Lepisosteus oculatus: one gene and its partner. The protein of the gene in region 2 interacts with the protein of the main gene of each other region in a pairwise test. Links are inferred from orthologs where the notes say so. Each region holds a gene or a part of one and is shown on either strand. Other genes may lie near its edges.

Region 1 (7,954 bases), on a different chromosome or scaffold from region 2:
AGGTCCATCCGTTTCCGCCCGGCCCTGGTCTTCAAGGAGTACCACGCGCACCTCTTCCTGAATATCTTCGGCGACATCCTGGCGGAGTACAAGTAGGCGCCGGGCATCTCGGCGGAGCGACGCACAGGGTCCACGTCCCGAGGGAAGAGAGCTCTCGGACATATCGCCACAAGGCCCCCTCCCCCCCCCCGTTCCCGAAGCAATCATCACATCACGGAAAACATGTTTCTCCCAACGACACCCGCATAAACACCGGATTTCAAAAGCAGCCCCGAAAAGGGCTGCGGCAAACTCAAAATCCATTGTCGGCTGGACAAGGAGGGTTTGTTGTTTTTAATTGTACGGAAAACCCGTTTATTTGGGGGCATCGCCCTCTTACCAAGGGAATTTTGTTAGCCATTTCAGCATTGTTTCTTTCAAAACAATGTTACAGAGAGCAATAGAAGCAATATACTGTATACTCCATCATTACTGGCACAGTACCCCCTTTTTAGGAGACTATGGGCAGAAGGCAGCTGGCATATTGTGACGGCAAGATGTTCTGCACTTCTGAAACATGATCTACCACCTGATATGCGTCAGAAGGAGGTTAGGTGGATGCCAACCTAAATGTACTGATGGGTCTTTTAAAATACGCCTGATGGTTTAAATGGCACAATTCAAGTAGGCGTTACTGAACCTCCTCCAGTGCAGGCTTGAATTGACAGGACTTGGGGGACGCTCACAGAGGTGGGTGGCTTTAAAAAAAAAAAAGTGTTGTCAAAAGGCACAAGACATGCAGTGTTGGAAAGGTGCTGGTAAAGAATCTAGCCGGGAGTGTTCACACATTCACAAAACGCTGGCTTCTTCGGAATTGCAAAGATAAATTCTAAGAAGGAACTCAATAGCTAATATCACCGAATTTCACCGTAAGGCTTTTATTACACTATAAAGATGCCCAGGCTCTAGAGCTCGAATATTCCTTTTACAGTCCAGCTCCACCATGCACATTTATAAAATGGGTTGCCCCTTAGTTCATATTTCTGTTTTATTTATGCCTCTGTTTACCAAGAAATTCTTTATTGAAGCCAAGAACACGATTCAAAATGAATCTCCACTAATGATTTGGAGTCCTGTTTATAAAGCTGGGCATTTTACTAAAGTAATTTGCAATGTCCCACTTGGGCATTAAACCCACGATCAATGGAAGATGAAGCTAATAAATATTTTGTAATCGTGTCATACAGCAGTTATCACATTAAACGTAAGACAAATGATGAACATTTTGCATCCTTCACACACTAATCACTTGTCAGTCATGTACACGCACAAATATATTAACTCCTTTAATCAAACCTATTTTAATGTTTAAAGTGGTTTCCTTTTATTGTTTTAATGTTGATTCAATGTCTTAATTGTTCCTGCTCGGGTGAAGAGTGCAGGAACACTCCGAGTTTCTGAACAGAGGTGGTTAATGTCTGGTTTTTATTTTAAGAATATGTACTGGCCATATGTGAATGTGTGGAATGTGAAAGCCAGTCTGTGTAGAGACTTCTGTATCTCGTGATTCCTGCCTGTTAAAAATAGACAAATGATAAGAGTGCATTTTTGTTTACAATGTTCTGTGACCTAAGCGGTGCCAAAAGTTGGTGTAATTTACTAAAATAGGTCTCATTCTCGTTGGAAAAAGAAAATATATCTGAATTCTAAAATAAATCTTAGACATTTTGATTAACTTAAGTGTGATTTTGTTCCTACCTGCACTCTTTCCCGGTGGTAAGCTGAACTGTGTACTTGAATATCTCCTTGCACCTTTTGTTCCTAAGCCTGAAATTAACATTCACACAAAAATAAGAGGGCAGTGGGACCTTTTTCACCCTTGGATACACATTTTATACAGATTTACTACTAACAATAAGACTGTCGCATGTACATGACAGTACTATTTGACAGTTCGGTGCTTTCTTTCGGTGTACCCATCCATGTTGTCAGAGCCGATACTCCGAAACACTTCTTGCAAAGATAAGCTGGACAAGACGCTCACACCTACTAACTACGATATAGGCTAGGAGGTTCAGAGGTTCATTTGCAACCTTTCTTACCATTTTAAAGCACATATATCCCTGGCTATGGCTCCCAAATTAGAGGTGTTTTATGACTGACAGGAAAAGATGCACCTGCACAGAGGGAAACTGACCAGGTCTAGTGCAAATGATCACATTACTCCTATCCTGGAGTCCTTGCACTGGCTTCCTGTCAAATTCGGTGTGGACTTATAAATCCTCATGCTCGCCTACAAGGCTCTGCATGGCTTGGCACCTCAGTACCTGTCTGAACTATAATCGCCCTACTTCCCACCTCGCAACCTTCGCTCTTCTAATTCTGCCCTCCTTACTGTCCCCCAAGCCCGTCTACACTGTATGGGTGACAGGGCCTTCTCCTGTTATGCCCCCAAGCTCTGGAACTCTCTCCCCAAGGATATCAGAGAGTCTCCTTCTCTAAACTCCTTCAAATCCAGACTCAAAACCCTCTTCTCCAGAAAAGCCTTTACTGAACTGGTTCCATTCTTCACCCCTCTGCTTTTCCTAGTACCACCATCCACGGTCTCCTCTATATATTGTAATTGTGTTTTATCATGTGTATTCTTTTTATTTATTGTTGTTGTCATTCTGTAAAGTGCTATGAAAAGCCACCTTTAAAGGCGCTATATAAAATAAAGTTTATTATTATTATTATAAACTGAGATATGCCCATTCATGCAGACGGCACGGCTGTGGAGTGTGGGAGTAAACGGGAGCACCAGGCAAACGCCCACAAGGTAGCCGAGGACCCAGACAAGCTGGACAATCGAATCCAGCACACAGGTGTAGAGGCCGCAGCGCGGTCGCACCAAGGAAACCCAAGAAAAAGGATTCTCTTCCGCGCAGCACTCGTGCACATCCCATTTCAAGTGTGGAGTGGCGGTCAGGGCTCCGGCCTTGTAACCGGAAGGGTATGGGTTCAAATCCCAAGCCAGACATTGTTGGTGTAGCCATGGGTAAAGGTGCTGCTCCCATAAAATACATTCGTACCCATTTATAGCGCTAGGTAAGTCAATTTGGGTTAAATTAATCTTTAATTCATACACATACTTTAATTCATGATCTAATTAAGCACACAAGAAGGCCTTTTTTCAACACTATATTACATACCACCACTATATGCAAACAGTGTCAGAGGTCCAGCCCCCGACCCAGATAGGTCCTGTTCTTTTTCGGCATCTTCACCCGGCGGCTACAGATCAGCCTCCCGGCCGGAGAACGATTTGCAAAGCTGGGCCGTAAGGAAATGCCAAAGAGCAGCACCGCTACAGGCATTCCCAGCCAAAACATCCACGATTCTAGTCACTGCAATACTGGATAGTGGCAGTTTTCCTCCGACAGATTAAGTCAAGTGTTTCATTCTGCCGATCCTTCGCCTTTCACCGGGAAACCATTTTAAAACAATGCTTTCTTTGGAGTGTCAGGGGACAGGACCAAAGACTTCCACGAATGCCCGTTTGTCCACAACCTGTCCCAGGCGAATGGTGAAGTACAGGACCTCAGGGTGGCTGTAGCGCTTAAACCGCAGCAACATCTCATTGTGGGGGTCCCCCGTATCCCCGAGGGTCATGATATCCGCCACCGGGACATACTGATCCCGTCTTTGACCCCAGAAGGTCAGGTGGGATACCTTCAGGACGGTTTTAGAGTTGTTAATGTACATCATCCCGATGATGTGCCGGAGGTAGTGGCTCAAAGAGAACAGCATCACGGTGGCAAAGACAGCAACGCCTGTGGCGTAGCTGACGAGGGTGCCGGAGCACAGTCCCTGCGAGAACAGGTAGTATACAGGAGGCAGCGTAACCACGGTGATCCCAGTCTGGAGCAGCTTGAGTCGGGACACTGCCCTGAGGACCCTGATGGCTGGAAGCCTGTAGATCAGGGAGAATTTCTCATTGGAGCGGTTTTCATTGGAGCGGTCTTGGTGGGCTCCAGTTAGCAGCTGGCTGTGCACCCTAAGTGTGGTCCATACTGTGCGTTCCTGCATCGAAGCGAGGGGACGGCGTTCGTGCTGGTGAGGGGTGAAGGAACGGCCACCGACCAGACATCTCTCACGATGCGCTGAAGCAGAAGCGCCGGGCCACACACACGGCGAAGCACGAACGGTTCGCAGAGACAGTATTGATCTGTACTTTAAAGGAGATAAGCGGGGGAAAAGTTTGCTTATTATAGACTCGTGTACTTGACTAATTTATTGTTAATAATGAATAAACCCAAGCATGAAGGTTAAGACACAGACCAAGATTAACATGTCAAATACCACAAAACAGGTGAACTAGCTAACAGTATTCTATTCGACTGGGCTGTAATAAACGTGTCACAATCACAAACGTCTCTTCACACATATCAGAGCAACCCTCCTGAGCATAATAAAAGTATTTGCTAAACAATGCATCATCCTAAACGTAATTGCTTCAGATATTAAAAGGAACGATGGTGCAAAGTCAATTACCATCACAGCAGACCGAAGTTGCAAGCCAAGAGGGATGACATCATAAACGCTCCGGGGGGAAACAAAGCCTTCTTCGACAGAGTACCGAATTCATCGAATTCCCCCTGATCCTTATTTTTTTAAGAACGTTATTGAATCAAACAAAATCGTGTATATGATACTGCTTACTATTAACCGCAAAACGGACATACATTGTTTTTCTAGAGTTCGGTTACTTCAACCATCTCTAAAATAATGTCTTTGTAGTCCACATCCGGACTCGCTAGCTCATTTCCGCCGATGGTGAACCGAAACTGTACTACATGTCCCAGAGTGACACGTAATCTTTTCCTGGTGGAAGAGGTCTAGTGTGACTGTGATATTTGACTTTATTTTCACGTTAATCACAATCAAGACTATCTTTTCATTATTTGAAACAAGCAGTCAGACAGTTAAGAAAATGGCACCATCTGGGAAGGATACGACAACCCTCTGCTTGTTCGATGTCGATGGGACTCTAACTGCAGCAAGACAGGTGAGTTGTAAATATTTCGAGCTGGTTTTCCTGAAATGCTCGTTCTTCTTTGGAGAAGCTAAAGATGATCCTGAAAATGTGAAGGGGTCGTCGCGGGATGCTGGGGTATTCAGTTTCAGAAGGCGCGGATTAATGAGGATGACGAGAACGTTTAAATCAGCAAAAATAAAGACGTGTTTCCATTCTGATCTTTCCAAGCCAGTCACTCTGATGTCGAAGTGGCACCGTTGATTTTAGTTTCTGGCTAGCTTTTACGAACATATTTAGACAACACAGAAAGAAAAGGGAAAAGCAAACTGACTTAGAGTTCTTTGAACAATCAACAGTAATCAATAGTTAAAAATAGGGTTTTTCGTTCTTAAATTCTTATGAAACTTTCCCCTCCACAGAAAGTCACCCCTGACATGGATGAGTTTCTTCAGAGGCTGAGAAAGAGGGTGCGAGTTGGAGTAGTTGGGGGATCTGATTTTGAAAAGATCAAAGAGCAGCTCGGAGCAGATGGTGAGTATTGACAAGCCATTAATCATATTGATTGATTAATCATATTGCAAGTCAGTTGGAAGATGAGTGATGGTAATTTGCCCACCCTGAGGCAAAAGCAATACAATGACTTTGTTGTGATCTAGGTTAACTATCTGAAGCCAATCCAGGCTATTAATGCTGTTTTTTCTTTAATAATTATAAAGTATTACATTTAGCAGCTCCAGAATCTGTACAAATGCATGATATTTGTAGGAAGGTACAAGCAACCATACCTGCTGCTAAATGCATCCTTTGTTGTAAAGATATTGTATTTCACATTTGAACCTACACTGGGAACAAAGCCTTGTAAATCTAAGGTATTGTAATTTATGCCTATTTGATCTGAAGATTTTTGAGTGGAGGGGTTTTTAGTACAATTACCTCTCTGCAGGAAGGCTCTCAGGTGCTGGTCAAGACTGAAAGCCTGAGATAATGATCAGTGTAGCTGCAGTATTTGTAGGATATAGCATTAATAACTAAAGTATTAGTATAGTATTAGTAACTAAAGTAGTGTATACAAGGAGGAGAAAAAAAGGTAAATGTAAGAAATTCTGTGCATATGATTATATACGATCTCCAGTCTGTTCACTTTGCACAGATAATTATAAACCGCAATTTAAAATGAGCTGATGGGTTTTTTGACAGTCCAGACAACGTCATACATTTCGGGATTGAAAAGCGGCGAATTAAACTAACACCGCTTAAATCACGTTTCTTAATGAGTAATATGAAAATAAACTACGTGTAATTCATCTAGTTAGACATTACCACGTTTTTACACGCACTGTTACTCCAAACGATTGAGTGGTTGTAAGCGTTTCCGTGCAGAGCTATTAAATTTCCATTTAAAGAGATCTATTGGCATTACCAGTGGACTATAATTTGACCAAAGTAATGACATTTTCAAACGTTCAGAACAACAATTAAATGTTAATTTGAGAGGCTCACCGTGTATCTCAGCCAATCAGAGGGCTGCCTGTGATGGGCGTGACGTGGGTGTGTCCGCTGTGCGCAAACCGGATTGCAGGAGATTGAACCTTGACGTCTTTAAAGGTTCATTACAGTTCACCTGTTTGTTCCTGTTTTCCTACCACCATGTATAGGCGTTCAATTATAAAATCTGCATTTCCGTATTAAGAGAATAGGATTCATTTTGGGCCCAGTTTTTTGTTCAATAAAATACGAGACGATTGTGGTTTGCACAGCGTGTTCATGGGCAGGTAAACATCAAAAACGTCAAGAATAGCCCCGCAAAATATGCCAGCGCTATTAATAATCGTAGCTGAGTGTTCCTTATAAAACGTATATTGCCCTGACAGGTTGACTAACGTTTGTTCAAAGTGAAGGAGATGAAGGAGTTTAAAGAAAGCACAAAGTGACACTATAAAATACTCTCATCAATGTCTGCTCTTCAGAAGCACATAAATCGAGACCACGTTTTCCATGAAACATCAATATTCACTATCCAAAGAAGATTCAGATCACCTTTGTTCATTTTATAACATTTACTTGTTTTGGCTAATTAAGAAGTATTGTCCTTTGCCACAGAATGGCTAGTGAGATTTGGTGGGCCTGCAATCAAATTAGTAAACTACCCAGCTGTATAATTGGGTACAAGTGAAAGTTGCTTTGACTGAAAGCATCAGACAAATGAATTTGTAATATTTAATTCCTGCTCATCTGACTCTGCCCTGTGTTGGATTCAGCTGAGAAATCGTTATGAGAAAGGACTCAGTGAACACGGCAGGGGTGTGCTAATGGGCGAGATGAGAAGATGGGAATTGTGCACAGCACCCTGGAGGCCACAGCATCAAAGCAAAGCCTTCTGCCTGTACAGCTCTGTTCAGTTTAATGAGCAGGGGGCTGTCACAGAGTCTGTATCTCTGTGCCCAGTGCCTTATCAAAAGTGAAGAGCAGGCACCTAATGGTACAAGGAGTTCTCCTTCAGTTTGCTTATTTTGATATTTCATCTTGTCTAGTCGAGTACAGAAAGCCCACTCTGCCTCTTCTTCACAGCCCAGTGTCTCTGCAACAACCAGTGCAAATCTCCCAGAGAAGCTGTTGTGTCAGAGATGTTGGGCTAGAAAACCCAATACTTTCCACAGAGCTGTGCAGAAGGAGAGCTGTTCATTGCTGTTCTTTATCACTGAACCTTTTTTTGTTGGCAGTGGTGGAAAAGGTGGATTATGTGTTTGCTGAGAATGGATTAGTTGCCTACAGAGATGGAAAACTGTTGTCTGTTCAGGTAGGGATCATCTCCTGACAACCTTAAAACACAAACTGACACCGCTGAACTGCTAATACCAGCTATAGAGCACGGCATCATTAGAAATGACCATAATATACTTAAATCATATTAAGAGAATTGTCATGGAACATGTTGGAAAAATGAACTTTTTCCACACT
Region 2 (7,893 bases):
AAGTGGTCTAACACACTTTTAAGAATACGTTTAGAATATTGTATACAGTTGTGGTCACTTCACTGTAGACAAGATATTGGAGATCAGGAATCATTCCAGGGCTTGAGGGAATAGCTGACACTGACAAGCTGAAGGAACTGAATCTCTTTAGTCATGAACAGAAGGGTCTAGAAGGGGATTTGATACAATCAAAATCCTCAAGGGCCCTGACAAAATCAACCCATGAGATTTCTTCTGAATTAATAGTGAAACAAACAAGGTCTTCAGCTGGAAACTACAGGAAAATGTGTTTAAAACTGAGTGTGGAACAAGCTGCACAGCCTTGTTAAAGTCGAATCCCTGGTTTCCTTCAATTAATGTATGAGATCAATTAATTACTGATGTCAAAACCTGCCAGATGGATGAAACAGCCTCATCTCAAATGTGACCCAACTTTACCAGTTGTGGGAATCATGGTGCTGCTGTGCTGGTGGCACAGTCTGGATTGGAACCAGAAAGCTGGACCACAGGTCTGGACTGGTGCTTCTGACATGAAAGAGGAAGTTTCTTTCTGTGGTGACAGGTTTCATTCAAGTGCTTAAAATTGACCTGGAACAGCTCGTTCTTTCACACAGATGGATAAGAGTAACAGGATTGTTGATTATCTCTGATCGTTTCACAGTGCTGAATCACAGACCATGTGAACTGCTCTGTATCTGTAGGGTGTCCCACCCACTATCCCAGATAGGAATGTACAGATGTACTAAAATGTAAGACCATACATCCAAGATTTTCACTCCTTTCTCTCTCTGTCTCACACAGACAAAACTAATGACAGCACACACCTCGGTCAAGAGTAGCGTTAATGTACCGGAGTGTCCATCGTCCATCGTCCGTATCTCTCTCGACCCTGCAGAACATCTGTGCTTCAAGAACTACTGATGTAAACGTCTGCATTATGAACACTACAGACCATGGTTTAAACTCTGTTGTGTTTAAGAGGTGGGGTTGGGGTGATCAAATAATTGGCTAAACTAATTATTCTCTTTTAATGTGAAGGGACTTGCTTTTAAGCTTAATTGTATGGATTCATCTTTTACAGAAATGTAACTTGCTCGGCCAATTCAGGCAGTTTCATATTAGTTGTGTAGATTAAACCATTAACTTATCTGGCTGATGAGCTCCAGAACACCTAAATTGCACCTGTACAAGCTTCAGGACATTTTCAAAACCAGAGCAGAGAATTTTAGTTTGCAATAAACTTCTGTCCATGCACTTTTATTGCTTTGGAACTCTTATGTTCCATAACGAATTTGCGGACTTAATTATTACTGCTGTCTTGTCTTGAAATAGTATTGTTGAATTAATTCGGTCATTGATCAAGTTAAAATTCTTTAATAAAAAGGTCAGTTTTTGTCATCGTTGCATTTTAACTGTTCAAGGTTACAGTGCCTTGCAAATATATTCACACCACAATCCAATGATGGGATCATTAATAAACACTTTGTTTTAAGGCGATTCAAGAGTGCGGGAGGTTCTGGTCTGAACCACATTCCCCAGAAGGCAATGTACAGTAACCCACCTTCCTAAGTCACCTAACCTAGTGGCACAAGACAGTGATTTGGGCGACTTTGATAAGCAAGGAATTAGAGAATTCCCATAGCCAATAACATCTGCTCTTCAGGAAGAGGGCAGAGCCTCTCTTATTGCCACAGCAGAGGGAGAGCAACTGAGAAATGTCTCAAAAACCCAAATATCATTCTGCAGGCTCATCAGTGGCTCAGGCATAGATGGGGGGGAGGAAGAGATTTGGGCAATAGGTTGCCATCTTGGGGAACTCCAAAAAGTGCAGTGCATTTTTTTTTAAATGTAGGAATTTGCAAACGAATGCTGGATTTGGGTCAAGCGATCGACCAACTTCATTCTGGATAGAGAACCATTTTTAGTCTGTTTTTGTTGACAAGGACAAGTGACAGTGTTCATCTTTTGATCTGAAGTACAAGTTTTACTTCACTTGTATCCAGTATCAGTCGGTCCACAGCCTGTCTGCCTGCACCACTGGTTCCCCGAGTCCCTGTCAGGCTTCAGAATCCTCCCTGCCTGTCCTGCTCAGTCCCCCTCGCCCTCATCCACATCGCTGTTCCAGCTGACAGCTTAAGATCCGCTGCTGGTCTTACCATCAGTGGGATTGCCACACATATAGTTAGAAATGATTCTCAGATCTATAAATGAGAAGACAGTCCTGAAGTACAGACATATTCAGGTTAGAACCACAATGAAACTAATCCGATCCAGACAATGAGAAATAGTCTTTTAGGAGCCTAGAATGACTAGACACTACAGTATATTAACACAGCATTAAGAGAGGTTAACAAAGACATGGTGTCTGATCGGACACTATTTTAGCATGTATACATTGCCTTTTCAAACTTTTGATTTTTGATTTTTTGGCAGGCGAGCGGCTTAGCCACAAAACTGGAAAATTGAGCCAGATTTTGTTCTTGAGGAAACAAATGCTTCTCCTGCATTTCAAACGCATCCTAAAGAGCAGCAAATGTGTCGAAAAATGTCTCAGTGGTGTTGAAACCCTAACCCTACCTCAGGCTCCCTAGAACACGTCCCAAAAACCCTGCCTAAGTCACCCACGTTTTGAGAGCCACCCAAATGACTCCAAATTAGGCAGAAACATTTAAATCAACAGTTTCAGCCTTAGACTGGACACTACTGTGAAAAACACCAACCCCTACATGAAACCCAGAGTCAGCACTTCACCCAAATAGAAGTGCACATTCTGCTCATCTGTCACTGGTTGATTGCAAAGCCCACCAGGGCTCTTAAGAAGGGACCACTAGTACCTTTCAGAGAAGCCTGCCCAGTTCCAAAAGAAGTCCTTCAAAGACCTTCATTTCCCTCTTCTCACATGGAAGAACTCTTAGGTCCCCTATTCCACTGCGAGAGCTGGAAGAGACGTATTCCTTACAAACTCCCAAATTCGCTTTTTCTTCTGTGCAAAATACACCTCTTTCCTCTCCTTCCCTGGCACACTCACCATGGCTAGTGTTCCTTTACCAGGAAGAAATCCGTCTTATTCCCACTTGCACAGTGGGACACCCAGTCAGACCCACCCTTTCCTACACTGGGAGGAACACACGAATCAGTAGGTCTTGGGCGAGACGGGGGGCTTCACTCACTGGCACCCACTTTTCCCCATTATAAAACACCAGTCTGTCACTCTGTTGAATTCCAGGTAATCCAGGAATACAGGACACACTCTACCATTGGTTTCTGTACGGTCTGTGGAGGCATCTTTCTTTACTAAAGCCACTCATCAAATCCTTCCAAGGCTTCCTGGTCTCTAACTTCAAGACTAGAACTGAACCTAGGGCTGCCAGCCGATAAAACACAGGAGCACAATGAACATTAAGTAAGTTAAACACATTGTAAGTAACTATTACTCCTAAACAATTTTGCAAATGATTACACTCTGGGTGGAAGTGACATTTCCTTACATTCTGCGTACAGGTCTGATTTCCCCTACATTTTCCCCAAATACCTTTTGTGTAGGCTTCCACAAACTTGCGTCCTTGACAGAACACCAAACCTCCATTCTCAGCCCACAGTCAATGCAGGAATGCACTTAAAAATACATAACTTCCATCTTCACAAAATGAAACTGGTATTCTCCAAGCACAGGTCAAAATGCCATCATCATCATCCTCCTCCAAGACTCTCACCAGATCACCTTAATTAGACAAAGCCAAGACAAGCATGTAGCAATACCCTCCTCCATCACTGATCCATTTAACATACAAGCAGAAAGATCAGTCAGTTTCTCCCATTCAAACTGATCAAACCCTCATCCTTCTTCCCTTCTATCCTCACCCAAAAACCCTCCTTACAACCTTGCAGACATAAAATTAATATCAAACCCAGCTCCCCTCAGCAGAGTAACTAAACAGTACATATCTGACACTTTGATCCATAACTCTCCTGTAACACTTTTCTTGATACACATACACACACACACGAGGAGTTGGACATTTGGGACCCTATGCAGTAGTCTCCAGGCACAGCAGGAGGGAGAGTTACACAGTGATGCTTACACAGGGGAGAGGAGAAGCAACCAAGGACATAATTCTGGTAGTAGCCATCCCCTTGTTCCTAAAACACAGCCTACCTTCCTCTCACCATGAGCTGCAAGAACTGAGAGACAGCTCCCTGCACTCTGCACCTGCCTGCTGATATACTGACAGCTGCTACTCCTGGAACTGGAATGTCCAATTAAACACACGGCCAATCAGCTGAACCCTTTTCAGCCTGTGAAATTCCAGTCAGTCAATCAAGGCAGGTGTGTCCCACCTTTCTGCAGTGAAGGAAGAGGCTTTAACCATCACAACTACAGTACATTAACACTGCACTGAGAGAGGGGTTAATACAGTACAGACACACTGACTGGACACTCCAGGACATTAACACTGCACTGAGAGAGAGGGGTTAATACAGTCCAGACACACTGACTGGACACTCCAGTACATTAACACTGCACTGAGAGAGAGGGGTTAATACAGTACAGACACACTGACTGGACACTCCAGTACATTAACACTGCTGAGAGAGAGAGAGAGAGGTTAATACAGTCCAGACACAGAGAGCCGACAGTAGAGAGAAGTGCTGAGTGAGCAGTACAGTAGTGCAGGAGGAAGGAGGGGGAGGAGTAAAAGAGCAATGCGCACAGCCATTCTGCCTGAGGAGGAGAGTGACAGCGTGCTGAGACCTGACATACAGCTGCCCCCGCAGCTGGCGAGAGATCAGGTGTGTGTGAGTGAGACCTCGTGACTGTGGTGTTTTGTAACACAGGGTGTGGCACTCAGGACTTGCTAGTGAAGGACTCCCCCCCTGCAAGCTGAAGGGAGTGGCACACAAACTCTTTGCACACCACAGCACCACAGAGACAGAGGAGAGAGGCTGAGAGGGAGGAGAGGAGAAGACAGGGCGGGACTGATATCGCTGCTGTGAGCCAAGGAGGAAGGTAAGATCAGTTCCAAACTCAGCCCCCACCCCCCCGCCCCGATCTCTGTCCTCTGCTCCTGCTCCGCACTGAACACTGAGATGATGTCTGCTCTCTCCTCATTGCTCTGTTCAGCTCTGAGGCGTATGAAACACTTTCTAGGCCCTGTGCTCCACAGTGTGCCCAAAGCTGTCAGTGCTCTGTGCCCCACAGTGTGCCCAGAGCCGTGTCAGTGCCCTGTGCTCCACAGTGATCAGAGCTGTGTCAGTGCTCTGTGCCCTACAGTGTGCCCAGAGCCGTGTCAGTGCCTTGTGCTCCACAGTCATCAGAGCTGTGTCAGTGCTCTGTGCTCCACAGTGTGCCCAGAGCTGTGTCAGTGCCCTGTGCTCCACAGTCATCAGAGCTGTGTCAGTGCTTTGTACCCCACAGTGTGCCCGGAGCTGTGTCGGTGTTTGGGGCTCCACAGTGTGCCTAAAGCTGTCAGTGCTCTGTGCCCCAAAGTGTGCCCAGAGCCGTGTCAGTGCCTTGTGCTCCACAGTCATCAGAGCTATGTCAGTGCCTTGTGCTCCACAGTGTGCCCAGAGTTGTGTCAGTGCTCTGTGCTCCACAGTGTGCCCAATGCTGTCAGTGCCCTGTGCTCCACAGTCATCAGAGCTGTGTCAGTGCCCTGTGCTCCACAGTCATCAGAGCTGTGTCAGTGCTTTGTACCCCACAGTGTGCCCGGAGCTGTGTCAGTGTTCGGGGCTCCACAGTCATCAGAGCTGTGTCAGTGCTCTGTACCCCACAGTGTGCCCGGAGCTGTGTCGGTGCTCTGTCCTCTGTACTGTGAAAATAGGATTGTGTTTTCTGTATTCTAAGACAGCTACAATATATCCACCTACACTTGAGGCCACAACCCCACTCCACCTGCCTGCTTTGAGCTACAAAGGAGCGATGTGCCTTTAAGAGGCCTGTGGGTGGAATAAAGGGGAGGGGCCTGTGCTCCGCCCCCCAGGGCCAGTTGATTAGTTCTCCTGCAGAGCTCCGAGCAGACAGATCGAGTGTGTGGTGTTGTTCTCCCTTGTGTGGTGTCTCTCACTTCAGACCCTTGCTGTTGCTAGAGTGGCTTTGTCGTCCTTTCAGCTGGTTTTGCTGAGCCGGACGTTGATGGCCACTAAAGAAACAGGTGCTTGTTTCAAATGCAAGACTTGTCTTTTGGGTGTTGTGCTTCTCGAATGAGGCTAGTCACAAGTCCAGCTCACTCTGCCAGAGCCAGGGCTGCACATATTCTCTCCCTCTCCTCATCTCCTTCTGTTCTGTGTGCTGCAGGTGAACTATTGCCCAGCTCGCTGACCTTTTGCAAAACAAGCCCTTCTAAATAGCGTCCCAATTCTAATAGAGTGTGAGGTGTTCGAATTTAACAGCCACTGTCCTGCTCAGCACGTCTGCAGGCGTGACAGACGATGCCCTATTGCCCCCAGACAGTCAAGGCCAAAGTCCACTGGGCATTCTGGCACAGGGGCTCCTGGATTAGTGAGTTATGCTTGTTGGCACAACCCTGTCTGCTCTGCGCACAGGTACGTGCAGGAGGACTGAGAGAGCAGCAGAGGGAGAAGAGATCTCCCCACGGCCAGTGTGAAAGGTAAGACTCTCAGCGCCCACGGCAGAGAGAGAGAGACTCCTCTTCACTTCATTTAGTGTTTGACTTCTGTTCTCTTCTTTGGGCAACATGCACAGAGAACATGCACAAAAATGTGATCCAGATTCATTTGTTCAGGGTTTAGAACTGTTTTGCCTTTCAGTTTGATTTTGGTACGGTTCTGTGCTAGAGGCCAGTGTGACAGCAGCTCATCTAATTTCTGTATCAAACTGCTTACTGCTGAGTAGACCAGACTTCCCCTTCCCCAGCAAGACTCCCCCAGGCCAGCTGACGGGTACCCATGAGTCCATGATCCTCCTGGATCGCCGAGCTCTTTTAGCTAAATTCACACGCAATCACTCTGAACTCCCCAGTCTTCCTCTGGGTCTGCAGACTCCGTCTCCTGATGTATGTCTTGGTTAAAGTGTGTGTTAAGATCACCACCCTTTTCTACATGTACTGAACACTTTGAAGCACAGACTCTGGCTTTGTGTGTGCACTGACAGGCTGGAAGAACTGAATCTCTTTTGTCTTGAACAGAGTGGTCTCGAGGAGATCTAATAAAAGGATTCAGAAACCTTAAAAAAAAAAACTAACTGATAGTAGGAGGCACTTCTTTACACAACAGGTGGTGGGGGTGTGGAACAAGCAGCCCCACCATGTTGTTGATGCCGATACCCTGGCTTCTTTCAAGAAACAGCTGGATGAGATCCCCAGATTAACTCTTAACTATCAAATGAGCAGAATACCCTCCTCTTGTTCATGACTTGAATATTTTGTGTTTTTGGAATTCAGTCATTCATGTCAAATATGACGTAGCTCTGTGCAATGTTATTAAGATTACTCTATGAGACTATTAGAAGTAATACTTCTAACTGATTTTTGTGCAATATATTGATAATGTGCAATACATCTTTTTGTGTACTGTACTTTCTGGTTCGTTTTGTATCTTCTGTACTGTGAACAATTCTGTATACTCCATTTTTTTTCCTTTTTACTGCACTTCTCACTGACTGTACTTACTGTATTGTATTGTGTATTATTGTATCATTTTGTTACACTGTGCTGTGTTGACTGTCTCAGGCTGCTGTTGCACTGCTATTTCTCTCATGGGATTAACGAAGTATCTATCTATCTAGAGTCACAATATTTGTTCCAATTTCTGCGGCAGCTGGATTATTTGGGGGTGGTACTGTACGTCCTTTGGAATTTCATTTGCAGGTTGTGGGAAATGGATCAATTAGCTACTCACACCCAGAAGGCCTTGTTTGTGTCCGGTCTTGGCTCT

Evidence for each region.
Region 1: the proteins of N-acyl-aromatic-L-amino acid amidohydrolase (carboxylate-forming) A-like (region 2) and pmm2 interact in binary tests that used the Homo sapiens proteins (3 or more experiments, as listed by UniProt). The two-hybrid records come from large-scale screens. The link is inferred for Lepisosteus oculatus from reciprocal best matches to the Homo sapiens genes ACY3 and PMM2.

Annotation. Positions count from the first base shown.
Region 1 is NC_090714.1:13,663,630-13,671,583, reverse strand, and holds the start of pmm2 (phosphomannomutase 2), read left to right. Parts: upstream 1-4,816; 5' UTR 4,817-4,951; coding exon 4,952-5,026; intron 5,027-5,415; coding exon 5,416-5,527; intron 5,528-7,716; coding exon 7,717-7,793; intron 7,794-7,954. Other genes in the region: abat (4-aminobutyrate aminotransferase, mitochondrial), read left to right, coding at 1-96; tmem186 (transmembrane protein 186), read right to left, coding at 3,481-4,191, 4,513-4,515. UniProt on the Homo sapiens protein: Involved in the synthesis of the GDP-mannose and dolichol-phosphate-mannose required for a number of critical mannosyl transfer reactions.
Region 2 is NC_090701.1:44,665,970-44,673,862, reverse strand, and holds the start of N-acyl-aromatic-L-amino acid amidohydrolase (carboxylate-forming) A-like, read left to right. Parts: upstream 1-4,687; 5' UTR 4,688-5,008; intron 5,009-6,543; 5' UTR 6,544-6,608; intron 6,609-7,893. UniProt on the Homo sapiens protein: Plays an important role in deacetylating mercapturic acids in kidney proximal tubules. Also acts on N-acetyl-aromatic amino acids.